Canis lupus familiaris: one gene and its partners. The protein of the gene in region 1 purifies or fractionates together with the protein of each later gene. This does not show direct contact. Links are inferred from orthologs where the notes say so. Each region holds a gene or a part of one and is shown on either strand. Other genes may lie near its edges.

Region 1 (7,166 bases):
TCTTCAGGTTTAGACTCAGACGAAACTCCAAATTTAAAATCTCCTATTGGTTTAGAAAATTTAAAGCCTTCACTCATGGAGTTTGGAGCCTCAGAATCTGAAGACACTCCTATTTTGAAGCCTCCCTGATCTCCAAACTTAAAATTTCCAGTGCTTGTTAAAGTCTGAGAAGGCCCAGAAGAGGATGATGGGATACCAAATTTGAAGGATGAAGCTGCTGGGTTTGAAGATGAGGAAGATGTGCCAAAGCCTTCAAAATATAAAAGACATCGAATTAATGTTATCCTCTCAAACAAAATGTACCCCTGAAAAACAAAGAGACAAAAGAATAACAACTCTGGAAAGGCCTTTGAAGAGTTATCAGCAATGGCCATAAAACATGAACCAGCTGCCCAAAATTCAGCAGGAGAATCACATCTTAGTCCTCACAACTATACATACTGACATACCACTTTTCATCCTGACACTGGCCAAGATCAAACAAATTTGATAAAACAGTGTTGGTGAGGAGTCTAGAACTAACAGACACTTTATACATTACAGGTAGATGCGTAAATTAGTACAAAATTCAAGGAAAGCAACTGTCAGTATTTACTAAAAATTACAAACACACGTATCCTTTGACCCAGCAATTCTACAGCTAAGTATGTACGTACGTATTTATTTATTTAAAAGAAAGGCGGACTGCCACATGCAGGGCCTCATCTGGATGTGTCTGGAGCCTTGGAAGCTTTACTGTCCTATATTTTCCTACAAACGGACCTTGATAGCTTGTCTGGAGGTCCTAGCAGGGAAGCACAACTACTCGTATACCCTTGAGCACACAGCTTGGGAAGGGTTGTATGTGGAGATGTGAGGGGAGGAGGGGACACCGCCTAGCCAGCCAGAAGATTGTCCTTACATCCTAAGTCTTTACTTAACTTTTTTTCCCCCTAAGTCTTTATTTTGAAGATAAACTCACAAACATGCAAAATGCCACATGCAATCCCAGGCAGCTGTGAATGAAGAACAAAGATGTGTCCAAGCTAATCTACAATAAAAATCAAGGGAGCAGAAAGGCAGTATGATATACAACATTTTCTAACAAAACAGAGGGAAAGAAGAATACACAGAATAAGAAAATATTTGCTTGTCATATGCATAAAGAAACTTTGGAAGAGTTTTAAGAAACTAACCAGTTATTACCTCTGGTGGGGGAGGAAAGATGGAAAATGAACCTAATGGGAACAAGAGGTAGACTTTTCACTGTGAATCCTGTCATAATTAGAGTTTGAAATCTTGTGAATAAATTTGTTATCAAACATTAAAAAAGAAAACTTTACCATCAAAGAACCAAAAGAACTGCGTGAACAGAACCAGTACTTAAAAAGACAAATAACATGTTGACAAGATTAAAGTCTTAGTTTCCTAGTACTTCAATGTAGCTGAGTAAACTAGAAATGAAGTAACTGATTGGCTCAAAACAGGAATCATTCAAGGGTCAAGATATTTATCCATTACTTTGCCTACCCAAGTATAGAGACAAATGACAGCCAAGCTTTAAAAGCCCTCTTATCATCTTCAAACTCTGCCCCTTTAGAGACGACCCATTCCTTTCTTTCCCTAAGAAACTTAACTGAAAAATTATCAGAATTTGAGAAGCAAGCAGTATTCCACACGGTCTTTAAATATCTTCAGTCATATTAGACAGAAAGCTGAAAATGAAGGGGCCAGAGACGGTAATTAACTTGTTATCACATCTGCCTCAGAGAGACAGATTTGAAGTTATGGTGATTACAGTACAACAGGTAAAGAAGAAAGAAAAACGGCTACATAATGACCTCAAGAGGACTGGAAAGTAGTGATCTTCTAAAACACCCAAATGCAGTGTTTTGGTTTTTTTTTTTTTTTTTTTTTTTTTTTTTTTTTTTTTTTTTTTTTTACTTTCTAGGAGAGAGAATTAGAGAGGGCACAAATGGGTGCAGGGGAGGGGCAGATGGAGAGAGAGAATCTCTTCAAGTCGATAGCATGCTCAGTGCAGAGCCCCAACACAAACCAAGAGTCAGACACTCAGGTGCCCCCTCCCCACAAATGCAGTGATTTTCAAACCAGCTGTGTGTCTCTTTAGCCATGTGATTAATTTAGTGGGTTCCAACCAGCATTTTTCTTCTAAAATGAAAAAGAATCTAAACAGGGTGACTTAAACATACTAAAGGGTAAATACTGGTTTGTGATACTTTTCTTTCAATCATATAGACAAATACCATGTGCATGTGGTAGGTCACAATGTAAAAGTTTACTGACTGGTTTCCACTCAATGTTTGAAAGCCGCTATCCAGGACATGGTTACAAGCTGATGAAGCTTGGCATTCTTTTTCTAATGACCTCATGGTCTCCACCTTAGAGGCCTCCTCCCTTACAGATTATAATGTTTCTCATCTCTCTCTCTGACTGTTCCTTCAGATCTAAAATCTCTTTCCTGGCTTGTATCAAATTTTTGAGTGAATTGTACCTCATATGAAATACTCAGTAAGTCACAGAGGACTATGAAGACTTGAAAAACTTGGCCTCCAGAGGCAGTTTAGAATGAATTGTTTTTAGAAGTTCTTCCTTTATGGAACAAAATATGAAGAGAATTCTTTTTCTGGGACATTCTCTGGGAAACCAAAGCCCAAGTCTAGATTACTTACAACAAAGTTCTCGGGGCATAAATTCCCAGTCAGATAAGAGTCAGGAAGCCAAAGGTTTGTTAACAGTTAAAAACAAATTATCTGCAACTCTCTCCGAGTCAATGCAAGACAGAATAACCCCTTACCAGCTGCAGAAAAGATACCTCACTGCTGACACTGAAATCACTTATCTTTACAGTAACTCTGAGAACTGAGCTAAAAGTATCCAGGACATTATCTCATTTTACATGAATTTTCAATAGAGAATGAGCAATTTTAAAATTGAACATGTTTGCAAATATTTCACTTTAAAATGGCAGTACAAGGAGGTACTGTACCAATGCCTTACCTTTAAACTCAGATTTTGTTCCGGGCTTTGCACTCTCACATGCCACACATTTGGTAGCATCTGCTTTATTCTGCACCAGGCAGATTTCACAGTCCCAACTGCCCTCGGGTTTCTTGAACTTGTCTAACCCCAGGCAGCTTCCAGATGACAGAGAGGCAGGGACAGTGCTGCTACTTGAAGCAGGTACCAAACTTCCTAAAAAAATAGTGAGGAAACACATAAAAATTCTAATTCATGTTATGTCACTATCTTAAGGCACCATTAAGTCTATATGTTCAATTAGTGTTTCCTATTAAGACAAAGTGCCAGAAATACAAACTTTACACTGTTAAAAACAGTATAGATAGCTCAGATTTCTTTTAATCTTACAAATAAGCAGCTCACATTCACCATGTCTAGTGACGAGCTCCCTCTTAACCCAAAATGTGAATAATTGTGGTTTAAAAAAATAAAAAAAACATGCTGAGAAATCAGAGACTAAAAGGTCCTTAAGAATCTTTTTTTTTGTCCTTAAGAATTTTTGTCAAATCTCTTCAAACAGCACAGCATTTTAACATATAAATTATAGGCAATATCCTAACACATAAAATACATAGCCACAGACCACATTAATTTCAAAGGCCAGGCCTCTGCCTTCGAAATATCATTTTGGCACAGAAGTTCCTGCCATTGGTTAGAACCCAGTCATTTAACAGACACTAAAAGTACCATAATATACCACAGTACTAAGGATATAAAGATGAATGAAATGCTGCTTAACTTCTGAAAGTGCTAACGGTCTAAAAAGGGGGAAAGCAAAACAAATGTATAGTAGCACCATCACCAAAATGCAAAGTGATAAATGAGAAAAGAAGGAAGAGATGACTAAGGGGCAAGAGAAGAACCAATTTACAGAGGTGACATTTAAATCTTTATGCAGAACTAGCGGGTTTGTAGGGAGTGGAGGTGGCATGGGAAGGACGGCTCCACAAAGCCATCATGAAGCAAGTGCGTTACTACAAATGGAGCCATCCATTCTGGCCATCTCTACATGTTCTCCATGTCACCTCTCCCAACTACCTGGTATCTCTTCCACTGTCATGCTCTCTCTCTTGCCAAGAAAACTGCTTCCTGAGGTTCCATCTTCGGTCCACTGTCCTCACAAGTCTCATCACCAACAAAACCACTTCCTACCCTGTACCTGTGGCCAGCGCACCTGAGCTTCAGCTCTGTGGTCTCCCTCTTAGCTGCAGTGCCCCTGGCCAGCTGGTCAGCGAGGCTGGATGGCTCTGCCTTCTGCATGTTTCTCCCATCCATTCCATTCCCTTTCTGAACCTACTAGCACTGCCCTATGTCAAGTGGCCCTCAGCTCTTGCTTGCATAACTTGTTGAGGCCTCCATTCTCATTCCCTGAAGTCCATTCTTCTAAGAAGCAAAATCAGTGCCATGTAGTTTTGGATTTTCCTCCCCAGTCCCTCCTTTAAAAGATTAAGCAGCCCGGGTGGCTCAGTGGTTTAGTGCCACCATCGGCCCAGGGCATATGATCCTGGAGTCCCGGGATTGAGTCCCATGTCGGGCTGCCTGCATGGAGCCTGCTTCTCCCTCTGCCTGTGTGTCTGCCTCTCTCCCATGAATAAATAAAATCTTTAAAAAGTAAAGTAAAAAGTAAATGAAATAAAAATAAAAATAAAAAAATAAAATAAAAAATAATAAAAAATAAAATAAAATAATAAAATAATATAAAATAAAATACAATATTAACTGTTCCAAAGTTTTGTTCCTGCCACTCCCCATAAGCTAACAGAATGGTTTCGTTCCTGCCAGTTCCCGTAAGCTAACAGAGTTCAGTTTTAGGCCAGTCCCTCACTTCACATCCATCTCTGCTCCCATCTCTTATTTGAAAACTAGAGCCTAATGACTCCCAAATTTGTATTTCCAGCCCCGAACATGCATGTGTAATGTATCTAAAGGCTTTGCATTTATGTGCCAACTTCACACCTTCAAATCAACCATGTATTATTCTACATCCTGATTTGACTCCCTTAGTATCTCCATTGCCATGATCTTTGCCCACATGTACTCCTGATACATCCTCATCTGCCCTCTGGTCTCCAAATTTTGTTGCCTTCAAATCTATCCTCCAAAAACCCACGAAGCAATTTGTCAAACATACAAATTTAACTGGATCACTCCTCTGCTTATAATGATGGTTCATCATTTACAAGACTGAAGCTTGACTGCTTGAATAAATTTTTGAGCTTCCTTTATTTGTGGAAGGAATTTACTTTCTAACTCAGTTTTATTCTCCCAATCAACTCAGAATTAATTTTGGTTTCTTCCACAAGCAAAGGCTTGCTTTTTTATTTACTTATTTTTTTAGGTGAGGAGGAGGAATGCCACATAGAAAAAGAAAGTTATTTCAGAATGAAGATTCTGAAATCTTATTCTTGTGGACATGTCCAGTAAGAATTAGAAATAAGGCTCACCTCTTGTGTTCACACATAGGGTATACAGGTTAACAAATCAACTTTCCATTGCAGACATAAAAACTACATATCCATGAATAATGCAATAAAAAAATAAGTATAATTCCGATGATATTCTTAACACTTTTTACTTAGTACCTATGTTACCATATATCTATACCAAATAATTATATATTATAAAAACAGCAGAGTCCTTTCCAGTTGTGAATTTCCAATAACTTTTTCAAATTAGAACAGAGAAACAAAAAACTCAAATCTAACTCCATGTTTTTTACTGCCAAGTTAGATTCAGTAATTTACTATCATTGCAACATCTTGGCAGAGACCACACAGGTATAGGTATCACCATTAACATTCAACAACAGTCTTTTCACAAAGCAGTATTGTCTACTCCCTGGTGAAACCTTCTCTGGAATGACCACTTGCCGTCCTCACTTCAAAACAGAGATAAAGTGGTGTTTGTTTTGGGAACAACTGTTCCTTTTAAGATCTTTCAGCTTCTGTATTAGTCAACTTTGAAAATGATAACCAAGAACAAGTAGTTTCTGACAAAAATGTATGTAAAAAAAGAGGTACAAGTATATATTGGGCTGGCTAATGCACCACCTAAGATAACACACAGATCCAGCCTCAGGCAAGTCACTTGACCTCAAGATAGCTGAGGCAAATGAAGATGTATGAGGAAATGCTCATCCTTACACATTACAAACATTAAGGTGGTTCTTAGCAGACAATACATTTAAATGTCCTACCAAAATAATGAGCAAACTTTTCCCAAAGAGCCATACACGTACCTGGTTTCTCAGACACACAGGACACACATTTACTGTCTTCTCCATTATTAAAAACACAGCATACTGGACACTCCCAAGATCCCACAGGCCTTTTAAACTGATCTGCAAACCCTAAGGCAGCAGTGGTCACAGTGCAGGTGGCCGATGAAGCAGCCGCAGTCACGGCGCTCTCTGAGGCTGCAGGCAACGTAAGGACTCGCTTAACACCAGTCCCAGGCTTCGGTGTTTCACAGGCCACGCATTTTATCGCTTCGGGTTTATTCTGCACTAGGCACGTATCACAATCCCAAGTGCCTACTGCTGGTTTAAATTTGTCTCCAAAACCTGTCCCTGATGCAGAAAGAGTTGATTTGTCACTTTTACTTGGTGTTCCAATTCCAGTTTGTTTATTAGCATTATCTTTTGGCGGCAATTTTGTTGCTTGGCAGGCTACGCACTTGCTGTCTGTAACTTTGTTCTGGAGTAGACAAGTATCGCACTGCCACGATGATCCAGCTTTTAAACTTTCCCCAAACCCGATGCCACTAGAAGAAAAGCTACTTATTGCTGGTCTTGTATAAACAACTGGGCTTGTGGTAGTAGGCTGAGCAGCAAGAGAATCTGCCTTTGGTGATATGAAACCTATAAGGAGGGAAAGAGGAGAGTGTAAGGAAAAAAAAAAGTTAAGGAAGCTTCCTAATCAGAACATGATCTGAAATGTTATTATTGGGAGAACATATATTTATACACATTTATACAGTTACTAAAATTCAACATGGACTACTTAAAAATAGAGTTTTTACCTAAGCAATATTTAATAATCATGTAATTAATAAGTGACACTTAGGCCTCATTAAAATTCTTTAAAAGATGTTTTGTTTACAGTTTATCACCTTCTTCCTTTAGGAATTTCTACTTACTATAATTTAAC
Region 2 (7,243 bases), on another chromosome or scaffold:
AACTTATTCATGAGAGATGTGAAGAGAAGGAAGGCTCTTTGCGGGTGGGGGCGGGGGAGCTGAGGCAGGACTTGATCCCAGGACCCCGAGATCACGCCATAAGCCCAAGGCTGACACAACCACTGAGCCACCCAGGCGTCCCTCCTACTCTACTTCTTGAAGGCAGGCAACTGGAAGCCGACTAAATCCAAGGCTCCCCTCCTTCCACCTCCCACAGCGGAGTGGAGGCACGACCGACCCTGGATCCCCGTGTCATCATGCACACTTTCCCTAAGACCCCAAGCTGGGATACATGCAGAGGACACTGCAAACTACAAACTCCAGGGAGACCCTCCCCGCCCCCACCATTCCACCCAAACCTCCATGTTCTCCCCCTTGAAACCTCTCGAAAAATGTAATGGGAAGGACAGGGCAGAGCAAGGAGCATCCAGTGAGGGGGACAAATCAAATGCCAGCTGACCCTTCCACCATGGCCACAGGGGCAGCTGAGCCAGTGCACATTGCCATATGAGACTACAGGGGCAGGGAAACATCCGCCAGGGACACAGGACCCTGAGCATGGTCTGCAGTGCTTAGGCCCACCTTTTACTCCAACAAGGCTCCAGGTCTCAAGGTCAGGGTGGGGGCACCTGTCTCTTGTCCCTTTAGAATCAGGCACAAAGCCTGCAGCCCCAACATGGTCAATGGTGTCACACCTGCTGAGGCTGGTCCCACATGTATACCTAACCAAGCCAAACCAAAGCAACCTTCAGCCCTGTGTTCACCTCATTTCCTAAGACTAAAGTGATGTTCATAAAAAACAAATTCTCAAGTTGCACTTCTCAATCAAGAAAGTAGTTTTTTGAAGTTTAATATATTTCTGCAAACCTCTGCCCTTTCCTGACCTGCCGAGAAGATGAAGAACCCACTGTGTACACTGATGGGACCAGACACCTTGCCCTCATCTTACCAGTGCTCTGTATTAATTCTGCTTCATTGTGAGGTCACCAAACAGGACAGACGCCACCCAAAGGAACGAACTCTCCACACATGACATGAAGCAAACTGTGCTGGCTCTCACTGCTTGTGCTTGGACAGACCTGTCCTTGTCCACGTCAACAGAGCCACGGCACAGGCTCTCAATTCAACGCTCCCCCATCACATCAGATTGCAATAAATGGAGGGAGAAGCATCCCCCACATGTATAACCTGCAGAGAAACACACCCTCACACGAAGGGAATCCCTGCTAAAGATCCAGCGTTTCCCAGGGAGTACTAGAGATGATTCAGAAAATCCAGACAAAAAGAAGCAATATATTTTGCAGCAAATTTTTCTTTCAGTAAGACTTGTGAATTCTCTCCCATCCCATTTTCAACAGGTAAGTGAAGTAGCTTCCAAATTTAACAGTTACATTTCAGATTTAGTCACGTCACACACACTTGCATTCCACACAGGTCACAAACACATATGCCTCCTATTACGTATCTGAAAAAGGTTTCATCCCAATGATGGGAACGATCTTTTCAAGTCACTTAAAATCTGGTTTTGAACCTAATATAGTGTAACATTTACAGTAATTGAAGTACATCTATTGATACATTTACTCAATATTGAAATTTATTAAATTCTACCCTCTGTATTTCATTTTTCCATATATTTAAGCAACCCCTTCCTACCTTCTTTTTAGGTAAGAAAGTAACCATTTAAGGAGAAATGGACATCTAAGGAACTTTGGTAAACAACCATAGCAGTGCTCAAGTGAGCATAATAGTTTAAGACTCCTAACTGCTACAGTATAGCATCCATGGGGTCAAAACTGAAGACAGACTCCACTCGTTCTTAAATGTGTAAATCATACAAAGATAAATGGTTTGATCCAACGAAACCTTTGCAATGTTTCACGTTTCAAGAAGCCATTCTAAGATCTACTTTTCTATTTAGTGTTCGTGCCTTTGAATTGGCCACAAAAATCCTTCAGAAAAAAAAAAAAGCATCAAAGCTGTGAGATGCCCAACTTAAATCCTTACTCTTCAGCATCTTTAACACTCAGAAATACTTGAAAGCAGCGGGTAATCGTGGAACATCTTTCTAGAGTACCAGCTTCACATTAGACGTTAACATTAAAACAAAATCAAATCAATGCATAACTTACACTCATTTTTAACAAATGAGACTCCTGTCAAGTCCCCACCGTCATCTGTTATCGTTCTACCAGATTCTGAACATCCCTACATGAGAGCACGGTTACTGGTCACAAAATAATGTTAACTGTAATTCTTAAAATGCCTATCCGAAACGTCTAGTAGTTTTGTTCCAACAGGTCACAGAAGTCCAAAGCTCTTCCCCAGGTGACACCACCCAGTCTGAAGGCAGATGCGACGGGCATCGTTTTAGCTTCACCACGGATGCTCACCCCTCTAACAATCTACCAAACGGAATACTGCGGATGTCTGCCCTGTCACCTGTGTGAGAGGATCCAAATGTACAAATAGACAAGAACTTAACCTGCAAAGATTCAAATTAAGGGAGAATAGCAAAGGCCAGTTCAACAGTAACGTGGCACAACTTTTCCTGTTAGTGGTTTTAAGATGCTTACCAAACAAGGGAGGAGTTCATTGGCTTAGATATTTGAAATACAACTTTATTCTGATTCTAAACGAAAAGGAATGGGAATGACAGTGACAAACGAGATTTCACCACTGGATATTGTGATGGGACTGTAGCAGTCTCATTATCTGAAACTCAGGAAGGAAACAACTGCGTTCCAAAACAGCTAAGTATGCAGGTCCAAAAAAATGAAGGTACTGTTTAAACTGCCACATTCACTCCGAAGCCCATTCATCTCCTTCAGCATCCCAAAGATTAAGCACATGTTCTGCTCAGCTATATAATAAAAGTGGCAAACACGCTGCACCACTGACATCACAGGACAGTTGCCTATAAAACTAGACTTCTGACGCTGGCCTCCAGCTGCACTTCTCACAGGTCATCATCCTCATCCGGGAGCGCGGTCGTCTGAGCAACCTGGACAGAGACACAACGTCAGGACACCATGGGTTAGAGCCGTCAGGACACGGGACACCCAAGAGATCCCACTGACGGACCCATCTGCCACCTACCTCTAGATCGTGCTCGTACTGTGCTGCCAGAGCTGGATCCATGACCACCTCTGGGGGGGCAAGAGCAGGCATGGCGACAAACTCCAGGTTAGGGTCTCCAATTAGTTTTCTAGCAAGCCACAGGAACGGCTTCTCAAAATTGTAGTTACTTTTGGCAGAAATGTCATAGTACTGTTCCATAAAATAAAATAAGTTTTTAAAAATCTACTTCTTGAGGATCATTGAAATGTTTAAAACTAAAAATAGTTTTTCCATCCATACCACAGACACAATTTCCTTTAGTGGATCTATTACCGTAGTTTCATCTTAGAGAAAAACAATTAAGTTTTAAAAAACATACCTGAAGGTTCTTCTTTCGGTGGAAGACGATAGATTTTGCCTTAACTTTTCTGTCCTTAATATCCACTTTATTGCCACAGAGCACAATGGGGATGTTCTCACACACTCGTACCAGATCTCTATGCCAGTTAGGCACATTCTTGTAAGTAACCCTTGACGTTACGTCAAACATTATAATGGCACACTGGGCTGAAACAGATGTAGGAAAACTGTTACACATGTATGACTTCTTGCACAAATGAGGAATGCTAAGGAGCACGGGCTAGGGGACAGGCCCAATCTGGCTACCTCTGCTTCTGCACTCACTACACCCCAATGTCTCTCTCTTCCAAGTTTAAGGATCTCCAACCACTGTAATACGTAACAAGATTTAAAGTTTCATTTTCTGTGTGAGTGTGAACTACCAGCCTAGCTTATCAAATCTCTCCCGTAATACTTCATTAATTCCGTCCCATCCCAGAATCTCAAGTAGACTACCGATAGAGCAGCACCCTAAGACAACTGGTCTCCTCTATTCTGAGGATCTCAGAACCTGCTCTTTAAATGATCCTAAACTACACAAAAGAGTATGTTATTCTGCCTTAAAACACGCAGGCCTACATACTGACCTATGAGGAACACAATTCTAATATAATTGAGACAACAAACCGAAGTATGTACAGTCTAGGAGTTTCCTAATTAAACACTTTTTAAGAAGAGAAAAAAAAAGCTGTGTATCTGTAACATAGCAAAGGATGCAAAATATGGAAGGACTCCCAATCATCTTTCATCACAAGAGATCCCAGATGACATTTTCTTCCTGTCTTTATCTGCCACTCTACAGTGCCCTTGAGGGAAAAAAACAAGCAAAAAAACCCCCAACCAGCCCCAACGACTCCGGCAGCCACAGCAGCACCTCGTGGGATGCTCATTGTCTTAGGTGAGGAGCCCGCTCCGGGTCCCGGCTCCAGGCTCCAGGCTCGGCGCTGCGCCCATCATGACACAGCACGCGGCAGCCGCCGGCCCGCCCTCACCCACCTTGGATGTAGTAGCCGTCCCGGAGCCCGCCGAACTTCTCCTGGCCGGCGGTGTCCCACACGTTGAACTTGATGGGGCCCCTGTTGGTGTGGAACACGAGGGGGTGGACCTCCACGCCCAGAGTGGCTGCAACACAAGCACGGCCGTCAGGTCCGCTCGCGCCCCGCTCCCGGGGGCCCCCGCGGCTCCCCCCACGTACCTACATACTTCTTCTCGAATTCACCCGTCAGGTGACGCTTCACGAACGTGGTCTTGCCGGTGCCGCCGTCGCCAACCAGCACCAGCTACGAGACAGGACGCGGTCGCGGGGGGCGGGGGGGGGGAGGGGAGGCCCCGGCGCCCCCCGGGCCGCGCCGCCCCGCTCCCCCCGGCCGCCCCCGCGCACCACCCACCTTGAACTGGACTTGGGGCTCTCCCTGGGCAGCCATAGCGCTGGTGCTGCGGGGAGACAGACGTGGGACGGCTGGCGGCGGGGCCCGGGCCCACATGGCCGGCCCGCCCCACGTGCCCGGGCCCACAAAGGGGCTCCGGCGGCCGGGCCCCACGCGCGCACGCCCGGGCCGGGGCGGGGGCCGCGGCGCGCTCCCGGCGGCGGGCGGGCGGGCGAGCGGCGCTGCTCCGGCGGCGGGTCTGGCGGCGCGCCCGTGGGGGAGGGAGGCCGGGAGGCCGGGGCGGAGGCCGGCGCGCGGGGCGGAGGCCGGGGCCGCCCGGGGCCCCGATCGCGCGCCCCCCGGCCCGCGCCGCCCCGGGGCCGCCGCCCGCCCGGGCCCACCGCGACTGGCGTCCCGGCCACGGTCTTCGGTCTCTACGGCAGGGGACGGCGAGAGCCCGCCGCCGCCGCCGCCGCCGCCCCGGCCCGCACGACTGCCGCCCGGCCCCGGCCCCGGCCCTCGCCCGGCCCTCGCCCGGCCCCCGCCCGGCCCCCGACCCCCCGGCCCCCCGGCCCCCCGGCCCCTGGCCCCCGCGGCCCCCGCGGCCCCCGGCCCGGCCCCGCTGCCTTACCTTCCAGAAGCGTCTCCGGCCCGTCTGACTGAGGGCTGGAAGATGGCGGAAGCGCAATTCAAATGCCCGGAGACGCAGCCGACGCCGGCGCGCGCCGGGGGGGGCGGGGCAACGGCGCCGCGTCGCTCCCACGTGGCCCGGCGTGCGCGCGCACGCACGCCGCGGGCTCGGCCGGCCACACCCGTCGGCCGGGCGCGGAGGGGAGAGTCGCGGCGGGGCGGCAGTCGCGCTCGGCGCGGGCGCGCGGACGCACGCCGGCTCGCGGGGCCACGTGCGCCGGCCCAAGGGCGGGTTCCAGCGCGCGCATGCGCCGACGCCGACGCGGCGCGCCCAGCTGCGGCCGCGCCACGACACTGGGAGGAGAGCGCAGGCCTCTTGGGCGGGAAAGTCGCGGGGAGCGGCCGACACAAAGCCCCGGGCCTCCGGGCGTGGGGCCTCGCCGTGGGCGCGCGGGACGGTGCGCCGCGGGGGAAGCGGGCGCGTGCGGAGGCCTTGGGCCCTGCCCCTGTGGCCCTGCCCCTGTGGGCTCTCGCGGCACCCCGGGCGCTCCGACCCGCACCCTCTCCCGGAGCCGCCCGTCCATCTGCCACCTGCCTCCCCCGGGCCTCCATCACCCTCTCGGCCGCTTCCTGCGCCCCCGGCCCGGCCCGGCCCCGGCCCTTCCTCCCAGACCCCGGTCCGCAGAGCCTGCCCTGGGCCCCCGCCGCACCCCCTCCTCTCACCTGGACCCCGCGGGCCCCTGCCTTGTGTTTCAGGCCCCCCCACCGCCCACACCCGGTGTCCCTGGCTCCAGCCAAAACCTTACTTGGGGGTAAAGGGTGCAAAATCGATGCTTTTTCTCACCCTAAAAGGCAGCCACCCTTTTGTTAAAGCATTTCCTTGGTCAGCAGCCTTTGTGACTGTATCCTGCGCACAGGATGACGAAATCGTGTTTTCAAACCTGGCGGCTCGCATCCCAGTTACAAATTTGGATGCAATCGATGAGTATGTAGGTTCCAGACTGTGGAGACAATAAAGCTGGCAAGAATGCAGACGAGATCCATGCACTCAGAAGTCACATGCTGCTGGGGATGCCCACCTCGTAGGGCCGGTGTAGGCAGAAAGTAAGATGAGCCACAAGCTCAGCAAGTGTTGACAGTTAACTACTATTCATTCTCAGCAAGGAAGTGGGCCAAGTGGAGTCCTCTAACCTCTTACCCTAAATCTAGGGCCAGTTTTTGGCATTTGTGTGGACAGCCACAGATTCTCCATAACCCAGATCCTCTCGGCCCCCTCTGCAAGCAAACATCCGCACTCGCGGCAAGAGTAGTACCGCTGGTGGCCCCATCAGAGTAGTCTGGTTGCTCAGGAAGGATTCCACCGTGGGGACTCTTCCCAGAGCGCAGAGAACCCAGATGACGGAGGAGGAGTTAGCCACTTAGTCTTCAGTGCCCTTTGCAAGCAAACCTATTGGGAACACAAGTGATGCAAATTGGGCACAACACTTGGGCGAATCTGCCTGCTGGGAACTCCAATCCCACTGCTCTCCAGGACCCTCAGGAAAACACCAAACAGATCTCTATGCTGCTTGGGTGTGACCATTGCTTTGGCCTCTCTGGAAAGCAGGAACTGATAAAACATGAGTGCCGAGAGCTGGCGACCCTGTAACTTCCACTTCTAGAGAGATTCTCTGGAGTTAAACTCACACATATGCACAGGGAGACAGTATCTCAAGCGTTCGCTACAACATTATGGCAACAAAAAATGCAGCTTCCAGAGATACCCATTGGTAGGGAAACTACAAATA
Region 3 (7,623 bases), on another chromosome or scaffold:
AATATTTGCTATAAACAGGTATCTTACTTTCTGTAATATTTAGTAACATCTATAATTTTATTTTGATATGGAAACACAAATAATCTCCCATTAAATATATAAAAAAATTTCAAGGAAAAATTGTTCCTTCAAAAGAATGTGATTTTAAAATACTTTCTTTAAAAGTATAATAAATCATTATATGCAAACATATATAAATATCAAAGGTGACATTCCATATTTTTTAAAAAGCTATTTATTTTAAAAAGAGAGAGAGCACATACATGAGGGAGGGACAGAAGGAGTAGAAGAGAATCTAAAGCAGGCTCCCCACTAAGCACAGGGCTCAATTCCGTGACCTTATCTAAAACCAAGAGCCAGCCGCTTAACTAACTGAGCCACCCAGGTGTCTCATGGGTTACATTCCATATTAAATGGCAAAACTAAATTAGTATGTTGCTGTCATAAGCGTTAGTGGCCAACTAATGTGTTAGCCCTAGAAATTTAATTAACTTGAGCTCTGCTCTTTGCTTAAAAGCAGGGTACAGAGGGCAAAACAAAAGGCATCAATAACGTACAAGCTACAATACTAAATCATGCCTAAGCTAAGTGTGTGTTTTTTGCTGAATTAGAATGCTCAATATTTTCTTTTCCTAAAAGCAATATAGCAGCTCCAAATACTCTACAGGCAAACCCCTGAGGTCTCTGATTTAACACACAGTACTTGGTAGGTTTCTATATAGGGAAAAGTTCTTATAGTTTACATATGCACATCCTAATTTCTAGGGATTCTCTCCTTTGAGGCTCTGTACTATTAATAGTACTATCTGTGCTATTTGTTCAAGCCTGGTGGCATGAACCAGGAATATGTTAAAAGGCTTAAATACAATTTAAGCTGAAATTTTTTGAAGAGTAAAAAAAAATATAACATATGTATTTAAAACAAGAACAGTGCATAATAGAGGTTTGTGAAAATTTAGTTGTCTGAACACCACCGTAACTGAATTCCCAAGGACTCATAGACAAAGATATGCAACTTCAAGTTGATGAGAAATATTCCTTTCTAGAATAGGGTACTTTAACCTTTTTTGACTGTCATTCACAGTATGAAACACACTTTGTATCACAATACATTCAAATACAATTTAAATAAAACAGGGCAGCCTGATTTCAGAAATGCTGTCGTAATGGTTTTTAACAACTTTTATTCTTCTTACTGGTGCTGTTTTGTAGAATCAGGATCAACATTAACAGGTTTTGCGGGGATTGTTTTATACCTTTTTTTTTAAATCAGACTTCTATTTTTATGTTTTAACATTTTCATAAAAAAAATTTTTGTAACTGGAGCCACGTAACAAATATGAGGAAAATTGTGCCTTGTTTCAACAGTTTTGCTAATTCTTAGGCTGAAAGATGACAGATGCCTAGAGTTTACCTTATGTTGAATTAAAATCAGTATTTCTCTAACAACAAAAAAAAAAACCAACAGGGCAGCCTGGGTGGTTCAGCGGTTTAGCGCCACCTTCAGCCCAGGGCCTAATCCTGGAGACCCAGGATCGAGTCCCATGTCGGGCCTCCTGCATGGAGCCTGCTTCTCCCTCTGTGTCTCTGCCTTTCTCTCTCTGTCTCTCATGAATAAATAAACAGAATCTTAAAAAAAATTATCTAACATTATTATATGAAATGCACTCTGATATCATGCACTCTGTTTTTTTAAGTGCTGGCCATGAGACACTAAACTGACTTCAGTCACTACTTACAGTTTGAAAAACACTTCCAGAAAATCACAAAAATCTAGAATTGAATCATAAACAAAAATGACTTGGGTTCATCACTGAGGATGCTCTGAACTTTGCTCCCCCAGTCACCCAACCCCTCGTCCTTAGTGTTGCCTTTTTGATGCTTGTGTGACTGCATCTTCCAAATTTCCACTCTAATTCTCTGCCAAGAGAATCTTCTACAGGTACCACATTGATAACATAAATGTGTACATAAAACCTCTGGGATACTACACAGGATCCAGAAATAGAAGTAAGATTTGACCTGATTGCAGTATTACACCCAATAGTGTGAGGCAGTGGTTGTTTTTTTTTTTTTTTTTAAAGCTAACTTCATACACACAAATTCTGAAATCGGACTGAGTTTTGCATATGCAATGTTTAAAGCCATAAAAGAAGTAACATGATTGTGCTAAGAATAGACTCATTCTGCTTCTGAAATTTATTTTATTTTTCAGTTACAGTGAAGATCAAATATGTTATCTGTTTCTGCCCGATTTAAGTGAAGGAATATCACAGAAAGCACAAATTTCGATCTAAGCTAGAGCCAGGCTGCATTCTGAATTGCTAATAAAGGCAAATGGAAAATGATACCCACCTTCAGCCAATGTTAAGGCTTCCATTATTTTAACAGGAAGAGAAGATCCAAATGTTTTCACATCATAGTTCATAGACTCAGTTACACAGTGGTGTGGCAATATCCGTGTAGGTGTCCCTCTAAAGAAAAGAAACCATATTATTTGAATCATAACTTAAAATTGTGTTATTCTGATCTTTACATACCTATTTTCACATGAAGAGAAGATCTTGCTTTGGCTCATGTCTACTGCAATTAACTATATTTTTCATTAAAAAAAAAAAGACTGACAGGATCTAGAAAAACTTGGTTTCGGACTCTTCTGCTCTAGCAATCAGATGCATGCTCTATTTGCTTAGACCCTTTATAACTGCTTCCTTAGTTGTGAAATACAAAGGTTGGACTAGATCAGTGTTTTCCAAATTGTGGGTCATTTTGAAGGTCTCAATCAACATTTATGAAAAATGAAATAGAATATAATCTAGAAAAAAAAAAGAATATAATCTAGAATTTATTCTACACTGTGGTCAAAAAAGCTTTACAAACATTGGGTTAGATCATCCTTAAGCTCTCATCAGCTCCAGAATTCTTTTTTTTTTTTTTTAATTTTTATTTATTTATGATAGTCACACAGAGAGAGAGAGAGAGGGGCACAGACACAGGCAGAGGGAGAAGCAGGCTCCATGCACCGGGAGCCCGACGTGGGATTCCATCTTGGGTCTCCAGGATCGCGCCCAGGGCCAAAAGCAGGCGCCAAACCGCTGCGCCACCCAGGGATCCCCCAGAATTCTTTTTATTGAAGTACAGTTGATATACAATGTTACATTAGTTTCAGATGTACAATACAGTAATTGGAAACTATGCTCTGCTCAAAAGTATAACTACAGTCACCATGCAACCCTATTATATCACTGATTATATTCCCAATGTTGTACTTTTCATCCTCATGCCTTACACATTCCGTAACAGGAGGTCTGTACCTCTCACTCCCCTTCACCCATTTTGCCCTCATCAGCTATAGAACTTTATGAAATCTACTAGACTTGTACAATCAAGAAATTAAATAGGGTCCTGAATATCTGCTGTTATCTGTTCTTCAACACCAGATACAGCAGTCGAAATTGTATCTCCTGCGTTTAGGGCCACCTTCAGCCCAAGGCGTGATCCTACAGACCAGCGATCAAGTCCCATGTTGGGCTCCCTGCAGGGAGCTTGCTTCTCCCTCTGTGTCTCTCAATCTAAAAAAAAAAAAAAAAAAAAATTGTGTCTCCTTCTCATCTTGTTAACCTTCAAAAATAATGTAAAGTTACCAGTATAAAATTTATTCCCTCTTGTGAGGATTAAATGAGCTTTGTTTCCTGACAGAGCGTTATAACAAAGATTTTTCTTTAAATGATCACTGGAGGGGACCCCTGGGTGGCTCAGCGGTTTAGCACCTGCCTTTGGCCCAGGGCATGATCCTGGAGTCCCAGAATCGAGTCCTGCATTGGGCTCCCTGCACGGAGCCTGCTTCTCCCTCTGCCTGTGTCTCTGCTCCCCCCCGCCACATGTCTATCACGAATAAATAAATAAATCTTAAGAAAAAAATAAATGATCACTGGAAAGTAAGAAAAGTTTTTAAAACACATTAAATAGAGTACAGCTTTTATTCCCTGATTTTTCTCAAAAGTAGAAAACACTGACAAGATCACCACTTCGAAGAGCACTTTCAAAAGCAAAAAGTCAAAGACGCAGTGTAGTTTTTAAAAACCATTTCTCCTTTAAAGCATTGCAAACATTCAGAGATAAATTTTAACTATAAATTCAAAATCCAGCATCACAGTTTTCTTGCAAAAAAAAAGTTCATTTTTGGTAGACGAATTCTGAGGAAACTACTCTAAAACATGCTACCTTCTAAAGTTCTAAATTAATTATGACAGGGGGGCATGGAGCATGATTTAACAGATATGTGGACTAATGTGAAACGCTTTTTTCTGGTAACTATTCTTATGTCAATGCTACGGATAACCTTTGCCCTATTTAATTTAGCTACAAAATTAACTTGTGTGGCCTAAAGTCCCTTAATTATCAATCAGCAGATATATTAACGGCAGTAATTATATCAGGCACTATACGATTTTCCTAGGCTGGAGACGCTCATTCCCACCATCGTCGAGGAATTTCATGTTGATTCATTTGGCCTTGAGTGAAGCGGGTTCAGGTCAAATACTATCGCCATTTCACAGATGAAAAGAATGACTGACTTGCACCGGAACACAGGGGCAGTAAGGAGGCGGCAGGCAACCACTCACTGCAATCCAACTGTTCCCTTCTACACAGAGGTAGAAGAGACCTTTTCCATGAAAAGTGAAAAGTGAAGGCACAATTGACGAATTAAAAGCGAGGCTGAAATAACCCGCAAAGATGGCGAAGGTCTATTTCCCCCAAACTTCTGGCATTCCTCCCCGCCGCCCCCGGTTCCGGAGGATTCTGGAGACACTGGCCCAGCAGGCCCGCGAGGCACGTAAGCCTGCGCATCACCGGACCGAACCGGGGACAATCACGTACCTCGAGCTCAGCGAGCTACGCCGGCCGACGGGCGAAAAGACCACCGGGGAGCTGACTGCCGACCCCAGGCACAGCCCTTTCCTGCTCGCCGTCCGGGGCGTGGAACCTGGCCCGACTCCGCCTAGCGGGCCCCTCCGGGTTCCGGGCCCGGGTGTCCGCGGAGAGGAGACGGCCGGGAACATGACGGAAGGGAGAGGCGACACAGAACGCGCCGATCCCGCCGGTGCGGCCTGCAGCTCTGCTCGCGCGCGGAGCTTGAACACCCAGAGGCGGGAGGGCGCGCAGTGATGACGTAAAAACACAGCGCCAAGCTCCGGGCTTTGTAGGGTGGCGGGGGCAGAGCGCGCGGTCAGACGTAAAAGCGCAGCGCCGAGGCGCGGGGTGTGGTGGGGACGGTGGGAGGGCGCGCGGTAATGACGTGGAGCGGCGCAGTCGGCCGCGGGGCGTGGTCGGAGAGGTGACTCCTTTGGGGCCTTCGGGGGCCGGCGGGTGTCGGGAGCCTCAGGGAAGCGAGACTGGAAAGCCCGGGGCCCTCTGGACCCCGAGGGGTGGGGCTGGCCCCCCGGCAGCCTGAACACCAGCGTCTCCGTGTGCTGGTGTCTCCTGAGCCTCTCGCCAGCTGCAGTGTCGGATCCCTGGTCCACGCTGAAAGGCCGCCAGTGCTGTCACACTCAGGGTTATGTTTGTCCTTCTCCAGGTTTGTCGTTCCCCACTCAACTCCGCGCCGTCTCATCCACGCTAGCAGAGTCCAGGTCTTTAGCCCGGATCTGGCTCAGAAGCTGCCCTCTGCAGCAGCTCCCGGGGGGACAATGGGACCTGCGTGTCCTGCAGACTCCTCACGACCCATGTGTCAAAAACTGGATTCCTGTTTTCCTTGAGGACCCCTTCGCCCCCGGGTAAAGGAGGGCTCGTCCCGGAGTCACTCGGCGCACCGACCGCCGCCGCGACATCCCGGAGCGCCGAGCTGAGTCGGGCCACCGGGGCCAGCCTGGCCGGGACAGCGGGGACCCAAGAACTTCGGTATCACCACCCGGGCTGCTACATTTTCCTCGTGGCTGCCATCTCCTTTTTTTTTTTTTTTAAGTCATTTCCTTATTTATCCTCTGACCTTATTTTGAACAGCGTGGTTCCTTCTACAGGAGACTAGGAGGAGGGATGGTGTGGAGCCGCGTCTCCCGCTCGAGCTTGCCCACCCACCCACTGCCTGGGAATGTGCACGTCTAACGGGCTTCCCGGTGTGGGTGATGCTGCTGTCTGGGGATATTTTGACAACCACTCACGTAGTAATTGAGTGTATAGACTCCGGAATTAAATGGGACTTGCTTTAAATCTCGCCTCTGCTATTCACTATCTCTGTCACCTTTTTGAGCCTCTATTAAATTACTGAAAGTACTCGCTTGTGAGAATTAGATAGTGGAGACATGACTGTATTCATGGATGGCAAAAAACACAAACGTAGAATGAAAGCAAACAAGCTGAAGAAAAACAGTATTTCCAATAAAATAGTACTCTTTAAAGAAAATCCGCAAGAGAAAGCAAGCCACCCCAAAAGGAAAAAAAAAAAAATGGAAATGTGGAAGGCATGAACTAGCATTAAGTCAAAGACTAGAAATGACCACATGAAAAGATCTTCAATGTCACTAGTAATTAAAGAAATACGAATCAAACCACCAATCAGTATTTTTTGCCTGTTTAACTAGTTGGAAGTTTTTTAAAAAATGAAAATAGTTCATGTTGAAAGGCTGTGGAGTAATACGTGCTGATATTTACACTTCTGGTGAGATTTTTATAAATTAGTACCATCTTTTGAGAGGATAATCTATCAAAAAGCCTTATAACTTGCACATGCTCTTTAAACTTGGCAATTCACTTTTAGAAATTATCTGAAAAAAACAAAAATCATATAGATAGTATTGTTTATAATAGCGAAGACTATAGAAAGATGTACAATGATAGCTTTGTAGTATATTCACATTAAAAGAAGACATGTAGATGCGTGTAATGAATACTTAAGGATATAGGAAAATATTTCATTGTAAAATTTTATTTTTTTTTAACTTTTATTTATGATAGTCACACACACAGAGAGAGAGAGAGAGAGAGAGAGAGAGAGGCAGAGACACAGGCAGAGGGAGAAGCAGGCTCCATGCACCGGGAGCCCGACGTGGGATTCGATCCCAGGTCTCCAGGATCACGCCCTGGGCCAAAGGCAGGGGCCAAACCGCTGCGCCACCCAGGGATCCCCCCATTGTAAAATTTTAAAAAGCAGGTTGGTCTAAGAACAGTATTCCACGATGAGCCCTTTATTTTCTGTATATTTTTTTTATTGGAGTTCGATTTGCCAATGTATAGCATAACACCCAGTATGCATCCCATGGAGTGACTCCTCAGTGCCCATCACCCAGTCACCCCATCACCCCACTCACCTCCCTTTCCACCACCTCTTGTTCGTTTCCCAGAGTTAGGAGTCTCTCATGTTCTGTCTCCCTCTCTGATATTTCCCACAACGAGCCCATTTTTTAATTGAAATAAAATACTTCAGGACGCCTGGGTGGCTCAGTGGTTGAGCATCTGCCTTTGGCTCAGGTTGTGATCCCTGTCCTGGGATCGAGTCCCGCGTCGGGCTTCCTGCGTGGAGCCTGCTTCTCCCTCTGCCTGTGTCTCTGCCTCTCTCTCATGAATAAATAAAATCTTTTTTTAAAATGAAATAAAATATCTCATTGTATGTCTAGACACATGCAC
Region 4 (7,732 bases), on another chromosome or scaffold:
ATAAAGGAAAAAAATGTTTATACTACAAGATTGATTCAGAAAGGAAAATGGTTTAAGAATAAGCTTGGAAACACACTTTTGCAGATTTCTTCTTCTTCTTTTAACTTTGTGCTATTCTATTAACTTGAAAGGCTAACTTGGTTACAGATTTCTTTAGTGAACTGGCCAGGGAGCATCAAACTACTGATGAGGCACTACAAATGCAGCTGTGTTCTACTCTTTGTAAGAAAAAAATTAAAATATTTCCTCAGGGAAGACCATTTTTATTTTGTTAGGAAAGAAACTAGGTCAATCTAAATTCTATTCCAATTAATCTAAATGTTGGGGGGTTGGATGGGGGGCCCTCAGATCTGTGCAAACATGGAATAAGACAGGCCTCCAAGAGGCATTAGAGTACAAGAAAAGACCTTAATCTGAAATCTCAAATTATGAATATGGCAGACTGAGATGGCATGGGGTGGTGTACCATTTCTCAAGTTTGGGCACTGGCGCCATGCTAAGTTCATGACTAGATCACTGATTCACTCTTCAGTCTTGGTTAAAACTATAGGTTTAGAATGCAGCAAGTACATGAAATTCAGAAAGGTGCTTCTACAAAGGAGAATATTTCAGGGATAGGCACTACTGAAAAAAGACACTCAAATGTAATTAATAAATTTCTATACTAAATACAGGTCATAAGAAACCAGACTATTTTCTATTCAGGCTGTTTTTTAAAAGACTTTTTAATTTTACTACAAAATCTTCCTGAGGAATCCCCAAAACAAATTTAAATTTAGAAGCAGCAGGAAATCATTCTCAGAGAAACATCTTACCTCTTCTGCTTCATCTTCTTGATCCCAATTCCTATCTGTCAATTCCTTCTCAGCAATTCTTTTGGCCATATTTTCAAATCTAAGTTAAAAGTAAAAAGAAGTGAAAAGTGCTTTTCTAGACCAAGATATAAGAATTTACAAAGAATATTTTTAAAAGATTTATATGATAGAGAAAGATGGTGTGAGCAAGCACAAGCAAGAATGGCAGAGGAGAGAGGGAAGGGGGGAGAGAGGAAGAGAGGAGGGGAGGAGGAGGGAGAGGGGGAGAGGGAGAGAGGGGGAGGGAGGGGAAAGGAGGGGGAGAGAGAGGGAGGGGGGAGAGGGGGAGAGAGAGAGAGAGAGAGAGAGAGAGAGAGAGAGAGAGAATATGAATGAGAATATCCAAAGCAGACTCTGTACTGAGCATGGAGCCTAATGCAGGGCTTGATCCCCTGAGGTCATGACGTGAGAGGAAACCAAGAATTGGACAGCTTAGCTGACTGTGCCACCCAGGCACCCCAAGAATTTACAAAAATTTTTAAAAAATTCATTCTAGCATGAAACGAGATTTAAAAAAAAAATTCCTGATATCAGGGGAAGTGCCTTAATGAAAACTTTACAACAGTGTTATTAGGCTCCCAGTGTTACATATACAATAAAGAATTATGGAAGTAGGCAATGCAGGTCTTCTAAGGAACTGGCACTCTTTCTGAACAACGCTAAACCAGCTCCATTTAAAAGAAGTTAAAACACTTTTAAAAATGTGAAATCTTAAGTACTGTATACGTAATCAACAAGTGCTAAATTTACTCTATGCAAATTACAATTATAGTCTTGCTACAGGCAAAACTTAAAATGCTCTTAAAGATGATCCAATAAAGAAGTTCATTCTTAGATAAGAATTTTAATAAGGCACTGGAAATACTTTCACAGCACGAGTACTCTGCTTTATTGAGTACGTAAATTTCCCAAGACTGAACATTTAGTTACCCCAAATTGTATACTGCTAAGCTAGAACATCATGTAAAAGTTTAAAATGTAATTAATATACATGTGTTAACACTGAAAACTTATAAAAGAATAAGCCATCAGCTTAACTCCTCTAAAGCCACCATGTCCCAGGGAAGAGGAGGAGACAGGGACCAACTGTTCTCTCTGTAGATACACGCACCTAACCAGAGAGGGTGCTAGTACCCAGCCCTTATAACTTGCAGTGTTTTCTGATCCTAACATATATTCTTTGCTCTAAACAGCAAAAATAGCACAACAACCAATAGAGAGCTCCACTGTAAGTGCTGTGCTGGCTTGTTCTCTAACTCACCAGCTGAATGGACCAAAAAACCCTCCATTTCCCACTTTGTCCTGGGCAAGTGGGAAGTTCATTCAGAGTTCCTGAAACCTGTGTAGACTCCTGATGGTCTTTACCCACTCTCTTGTCTCAACACCACAAACCACCAGAGTCAGTTCCTAGAATTTTATGATTACTAAGATACACTTTCACACACTGCCTATTTCCCTTTAGTATCTATGAAATAAAATTCAGACATTGACATTCCAAAGTCCTTCAATATCTGACCTCCTGTAAGCGTAACTACATTGGGCATTTCAGCTTTTAATAATATCCTAATAATGTCTGAACTTTTCTATTCAAGGATGTACATGGTTTTTTCCCTGATTATAAAATAAATGGCTTTCAAGTCCACGATGCTAACACAAAGTAGGAAGGATACTCAGCCATTATCTGCAAATCCCTCTTTTTAAGGTCTCCCCCTCAAATACCTGGTCAGATTTTGCCATTAATCTTGGTCATTCAGATACAAGCAAGCAAAACCCTTTCAGACCCATTTCCTTACTGAACTTCCACTGTTGAGAGGCCTGGTCTCTGCGCGGACTCTTTCCCTAGTCAGTAACTAACACCTCCACCAGGGGGCAGAAGAGACGAGAAGTTGAAGGAGTCCTTTTTGCTAAGAGTTAAGGCAAAAAGGGGGTGGAGCTGAAAGTGCAAACTGTAATGAAACTGTCACATCTAGTCAGGCCCACAAATGAAAGATAACCAGGGGAGTACAACCACCAAAACCAAACAGCTGCTCCCCCAGACTACTGGCCACCTAACCGCAGGGCAGGGATCTCCCTTTTGCTTCCGGGTCTACTCCCATTGCCCCAAATCTGCGGCTCAGCTCACAGCAGGTGCTCCAGCAAGTGGCTGGTTGATCTGGGGCCCTACTTATTTTAGAGAATACTACAAGATGCTGGCATCTCGGTTTTGCCATTTTCTTGCTAAACCTCTGGCAAGTCATTTAAAACTGCTATGACTCACTTTCTTCATCTGTAGAAGACGAAGGCGTTGGGAAAATTAAGGAAGATAAATTGAAAACTTAGTTCAGAACACTGCCTGGAACAGAGGAAGGGCTTAATAAACATTATTACAGACACAAGTTTTGTTAGAAGCAAAGGCTACAAAATACTACTTTTCCCCAATAATGTATGAAGCACAGGGTAGAAAAAGAGAATTATGAGCCAGGCTTTAAAATATATTTTAGTGGGCAGCCCCGGTGGCTCAGCAGTTTAGCGCTGCCTGCAGCCCAGGGTGTGATCCTGGAGACCAGGGATCAAGTCCCACAGCAGGCTTCCTGCGGGGAGCCTGCTTCTCCCTCTGTGTCTCTGCCTCTCTCTTTGCTCTCTCTGAATGAATAAATAAATAAACCTTAAAAAAAATAAAATAAAATAAAATATATTTTAGCAAATCTGTATTCTATTTCAAAGTAGGATGCTCCAGATAATATTTTTTATGAAAAAAGAGGAGGAGAAAAAAATCTCTGGGAAGTACTCAGAACAAAGCCCAGCACCAAAGAGTCTTCAGTTTTGGCTACAGTTAAGCATTTAGGGGTGCCTGGCTAGCTGACTGGTGGAGCATGCAGCTCTCCACCTCGAGGTTGTGAGGTCCAGCTCCGCCGTGGGTGTCCAGATTACTTAAAAACAAAATTGTAAAAAAAAAAAAAAAAAAAAAAAAAAAGGATTTGAAAAAAAAATTAGGGCTTGTGGTTAAAGAGGCACCAAATTTTAAAATGATTCCTAGGTATGAAGTACTGATAAGAAATTGAGAGTACTCGTAATTGGAGAAAACTATTATTTGTGCCTGATAGTGTTCCGTGGTCTCTGCCACCAGGTGCTGCCTCCACCTCGGGGTTGAACTTCAGACATCAGTTTACCCTGAGACGAGAACAGGTATGACCATACTTGACGGAGAGAGAAAAAGAGAAAAGGTGGGGGGGGGGGGGGGGGGGAGGCGCGGAGCCCGGAGACTGGAAGGCTGCGGAAGGCGAAGTCTCAAAACTGCTTAACGGGGCAGAGGACAGGGGTGACCGGCAGCCCGGGACTGCGGAGGGAAGCAAGGCCCCGGCGTAGGCAGCGGGTCCCTGCCCGGAGACCGCCGAGGGGAAGCCCCAGGGGGGACCCGACCCGGCGGCCGGGGCCCAGGCCAGCTCCGCACCACGGTCACCGCACGGTCACCGCACCGGGCCGACCCCAACCCGGCCCCGGCCCCGGCCCCGACCCCGGGTCCCTCCTCCCCAGGTCTCACTCCCCCCACCCAGACCCCAGCTCCCCGTCCCAGATCCCTCCTTCCCCAGGCCCCATCCCGGGTCCCTCCCCCCCACCCCAGGTCCCTCCTCCCCAGGTACCCCCCCCCCCCCCGCCCCGACCCCAGGTCCCTCCTCCCCGGGTCCCATCTCCCCCCACCCCCCCACCCTAGGTCCCTCCTCCCCAGGTCCCTCCTCCCTAGGTCCCCCCCCCCACCCTAGGTCCCTCCTCCCCGGGTCCCTCCTCCCCAAGTCCCCCCTCCCCCCGACCCCAGGTCCCTCCCCCCCAGGTCCCCCACCCCACCCCAGGTCCCTCCTCCCCAAGTCCCCCCTCCCCCCGACCCCAGGTCCCTCCCCCCCAGGTCCCCCACCCCACCCCAGGTCCCTCCTCCCCAAGTCCCCCCTCCGCCCGACCCTAAGTCCCTCCTCCCCGGGTCCCTCCTCCCTAGGTCCCCCCTCCCCCCCACTCTAGGTCCCTCCTCCCCGGGTCCCTCCTCCCTAGGTCCCCCCCCAGGTCCCTCCTCCCCGGGTCCCTCCTCCCCAAGTCCCCCCACCCCAGGTCCCTCCCCCCAGGTACCCCCGGCCTCCCCAGGTCCCTCCTCCCCAGGCCCCATCCCGAGCCGGAACCCGGCCTCCTCCGCGGGCTCGCCGCCCCCGCCCCCCGCCCCCCGCTCACGCCGCCGCCGCCTCTCACCTGCCGGGCGCCCGCCGGGGGCCCTCTCCGGGTGCGGGCGCGGTGCAAGCCGGCTGCGGGACGACGAGCAGGTGCGGGCGCCGCTGCGGGACACGAGCAGGTGCGGGCGCCGGCGCGGGCCTCGGGGATGAGGCGGCCGCCGGCCGGGGTGAGCGCGCCTGGCCGCGCCGGGGTTCTCCGAGAGCTTGGTGGTCAGCAAGCCCCGGGCCGCAAGCACCATGTCCTCCAGGGGCCGCGCCTCTCTGTGCCCGGCGGCGGGGGGAGGGCAGTCCGCTCAGCCAGAGGCCGCCGGAGGAGCCGCGGCCGGCGGGCTCCGGGCCGCCATCTTACAAGTCCGCTCTACCCCGCCCGACCCGACGCTATAAAAAGGGAGGAAAGAAACGCCCGCGTCCAGCCACTGCGCAGGCGCGCCGGCCGCGGCCCGCGGGACCTCCCTCCGCCGGCCGTGGAGCGACACGCGGCGCAGGCGCTCTGCGGCCTGGAAAAAAACCGTCGCCGGGAGGAGCGCGCCCGTCTCGCGCATGCGCGCGCATGCGTGCATTCCCCCGCCCCGCCCCCGCCGGGGGAGCCGGCGCCCGCGGCGGGAGGCTACGCGCGGTGGTCACGTGTCGGCGGCGCGCCGCGTCTCGCTACGGCCGGGCCCGGCGGGTGTGCGACGCGCTCGGGGCGGCACGGGAGCGCGGCCGGGGCTCGGGGCGTTCGCGGCGCGGCGCTGAGCAGAGAGACAGGCGGCGGCCGGGAAACGTGAGTGACCTCGGGGCGCTCGGCGCCGCCACCGTGTTTCCCCGCGGCTCGCCTGCCCGCCGACGCCGGAGGACCGGCCCCGGCCGCGGAGCGGGAGACACGGACCCCCGGCCCGCCCGCGTGCGCTTGCGGCCGCCGTGGGCGCCCCGTGGGCGGGGGTCGCGCCCCAGGGCAGCACCCACCCGCAGGTCCGCCCGCGCGCCGCCCCCGCGGAACTAACGCCCTGGGCCTCGTGCTCTCGCGGGAACACTGGGGCGCATCCCCGCACGTGCGGGGCACGCGGGGTGACGCGGGGCGTGCACCTGCCCGGGCCATCGCGAGCTAGTTAGGACGCCTGCCTCGGAGGGGGTGCGGGGGCGGATATTTAGGGTCGGAACTTCTCAAGGTCTGTGCATCCTTGCAGGTGGAAAACCAGCTTGCCCACAACCATCTCCTGTGTTCAGGAGCCCTGCCCGGAAACGCCCACCCTTGGATCGGTGTGTCCACGACCCCTATCCTGCTGGATTGCACACATTAAGGGTTAAAAGCAGGTGGCGCTCGCGCTGGACGTTTAAAAATAAAGCCAGATTTATTGCCTGCTGTGATGGTGACTTCACACCAAGACAAGAATCCAGAAGGTAGATGTGGCCAGATGTTTGGATTTTTTTCGTTTGTTTGGTTTTTTTTTCTCTTCCTGAGGCTAGAAAGGAAAAAGAAATACCCAGCCGGGGAACTGTATTAGATGTTTGTCTTTCGCACAGTCTTTGTGGATTGGACTGAATCATGCCAACTGTGTGTGTGTGACTAGTAACCGTGTGTTCTTGCACGATCTTTTTTTTTCTTAATGTTTTATTTATTTATTCATGAAACAGAGAGAGAGAGAGGCAGAGGCACAGGCAGAGGGAGAAGCAGGCTCTGTGCAGGGAGCCTGATGTGGGACTCGTTCCCAGGACTCCAGGATCAGGCCCTGGGCCGAAGGCAGGCGCTAAACCTCTGAGCCACCCAGGGATCCCCTCTTGCACGATCTTTAGTGGCGTGCTCTTTAGTGTTTTTGTTTTTACCAGTAAAAAGAGAACTTGGAGTAGAGCTTCCTCTGGATCGTGCATGACTTGCCAGAGCATCCGTCTGGTTAGTGCCAGGGCCCAGGTCTCAGTTTCAGCCCAGGGTCCCTTTCCACAACCACTGAATGCCTGCTGTTAGGGGGTGGGAGGCTCTACATTTGTTTGGTGCCCAGTAACACGTGGCCTCTGGTCTCTTCCTTCTGTCCCAGGTCAGCTTTCCCATACCTCACAGTGACTGTTCTAAACTCTCATCACAGGGGCAGCCCAGGTGGCTCAGTGGTTTAGTGCCTGCCTTCATCCCAGGGTGTGACCCTGGAGACCCTGGGTGGAGTCCCACTATGGCTCCCTGCATGGACCCTGCTTCTCCCTCTGCCTGTGCCTCTCTGCCTCTCTGTCTCCTCTCTGAGTATTCTCATGAATAAATAATAAAATTAAAAAAATAATAATAAACTCTCATCATGGGATCCCTGGGTGGCTCAGCGGTTTAGCACCTGCCTTCTGCCCAGGGCGCAATCCTGGGGTCCTGGGATCGAGTCCCGCATCGGACTCCTTGCGTGGAGCCTGCTTCTCCCTCTCTGCCTGTGTTTCTGCCTCTCTATCATGAATGAATGAATGAATGAATGAATGAATGAATGAATGAATAAATAAATAAAATCTTCAATAAATAAACAAACTCATCACTTAAACCTTTCCAGCCACCTACCTGCCTGTGTACCTCCCAGCCCCCAGTCTCACCTCTGCTTCACCATCCTTAGTACATTACAGGCACCCAGCTCCTTACCAGTGAATGAACCCGTCTTCTCCATTGAGAAAAATATTATCCCAGACTTTTCCTGAGCTCCCTCCTGATCAATAGCTTGTGAATTTCTATATTTGGTTCTG

Evidence for each region.
Region 2: the proteins of NUP153 (region 1) and RAN purify together in Homo sapiens (affinity purification with mass spectrometry; 5 studies listed by BioGRID and IntAct, counting the BioPlex papers as one, with this or other methods). This does not show direct contact. The link is inferred for Canis lupus familiaris from reciprocal best matches to the Homo sapiens genes NUP153 and RAN.
Region 3: the proteins of NUP153 (region 1) and NUP133 purify together in Homo sapiens (co-immunoprecipitation; 3 studies listed by BioGRID and IntAct, with this or other methods). This does not show direct contact. The link is inferred for Canis lupus familiaris from reciprocal best matches to the Homo sapiens genes NUP153 and NUP133.
Region 4: the proteins of NUP153 (region 1) and NUP50 purify together in Homo sapiens (affinity purification with mass spectrometry; 8 studies listed by BioGRID and IntAct, counting the BioPlex papers as one, with this or other methods). This does not show direct contact. The link is inferred for Canis lupus familiaris from reciprocal best matches to the Homo sapiens genes NUP153 and NUP50.

What each region holds. Positions count from the first base shown.
Region 1 is NC_049256.1:17,837,465-17,844,630, forward strand, and holds part of NUP153 (nuclear pore complex protein Nup153), read right to left. Parts: intron 6,878-7,166; coding exon 6,257-6,877; intron 3,193-6,256; coding exon 2,998-3,192; intron 251-2,997; coding exon 1-250. UniProt on the Homo sapiens protein: Component of the nuclear pore complex (NPC), a complex required for the trafficking across the nuclear envelope. Functions as a scaffolding element in the nuclear phase of the NPC essential for normal nucleocytoplasmic transport of proteins and mRNAs.
Region 2 is NC_049247.1:1,618,537-1,625,779, forward strand, and holds RAN (GTP-binding nuclear protein Ran), read right to left. Parts: upstream 4,896-7,243; 5' UTR 4,884-4,895; coding exon 4,848-4,883; intron 4,740-4,847; coding exon 4,655-4,739; intron 4,582-4,654; coding exon 4,456-4,581; intron 3,628-4,455; coding exon 3,440-3,627; intron 3,271-3,439; coding exon 3,100-3,270; intron 3,005-3,099; coding exon 2,960-3,004; 3' UTR 2,946-2,959; downstream 1-2,945. UniProt on the Homo sapiens protein: GTPase involved in nucleocytoplasmic transport, participating both to the import and the export from the nucleus of proteins and RNAs. Switches between a cytoplasmic GDP- and a nuclear GTP-bound state by nucleotide exchange and GTP hydrolysis.
Region 3 is NC_049225.1:10,150,456-10,158,078, reverse strand, and holds the start of NUP133 (nuclear pore complex protein Nup133), read right to left. Parts: upstream 5,176-7,623; 5' UTR 5,064-5,175; coding exon 4,882-5,063; intron 2,475-4,881; coding exon 2,356-2,474; intron 1-2,355. UniProt on the Homo sapiens protein: Involved in poly(A)+ RNA transport. Involved in nephrogenesis.
Region 4 is NC_049231.1:21,793,463-21,801,194, forward strand, and holds the start of NUP50 (nuclear pore complex protein Nup50), read right to left. Parts: upstream 5,190-7,732; 5' UTR 5,067-5,189; intron 895-5,066; 5' UTR 885-894; coding exon 816-884; intron 1-815. UniProt on the Homo sapiens protein: Component of the nuclear pore complex that has a direct role in nuclear protein import. Actively displaces NLSs from importin-alpha, and facilitates disassembly of the importin-alpha:beta-cargo complex and importin recycling.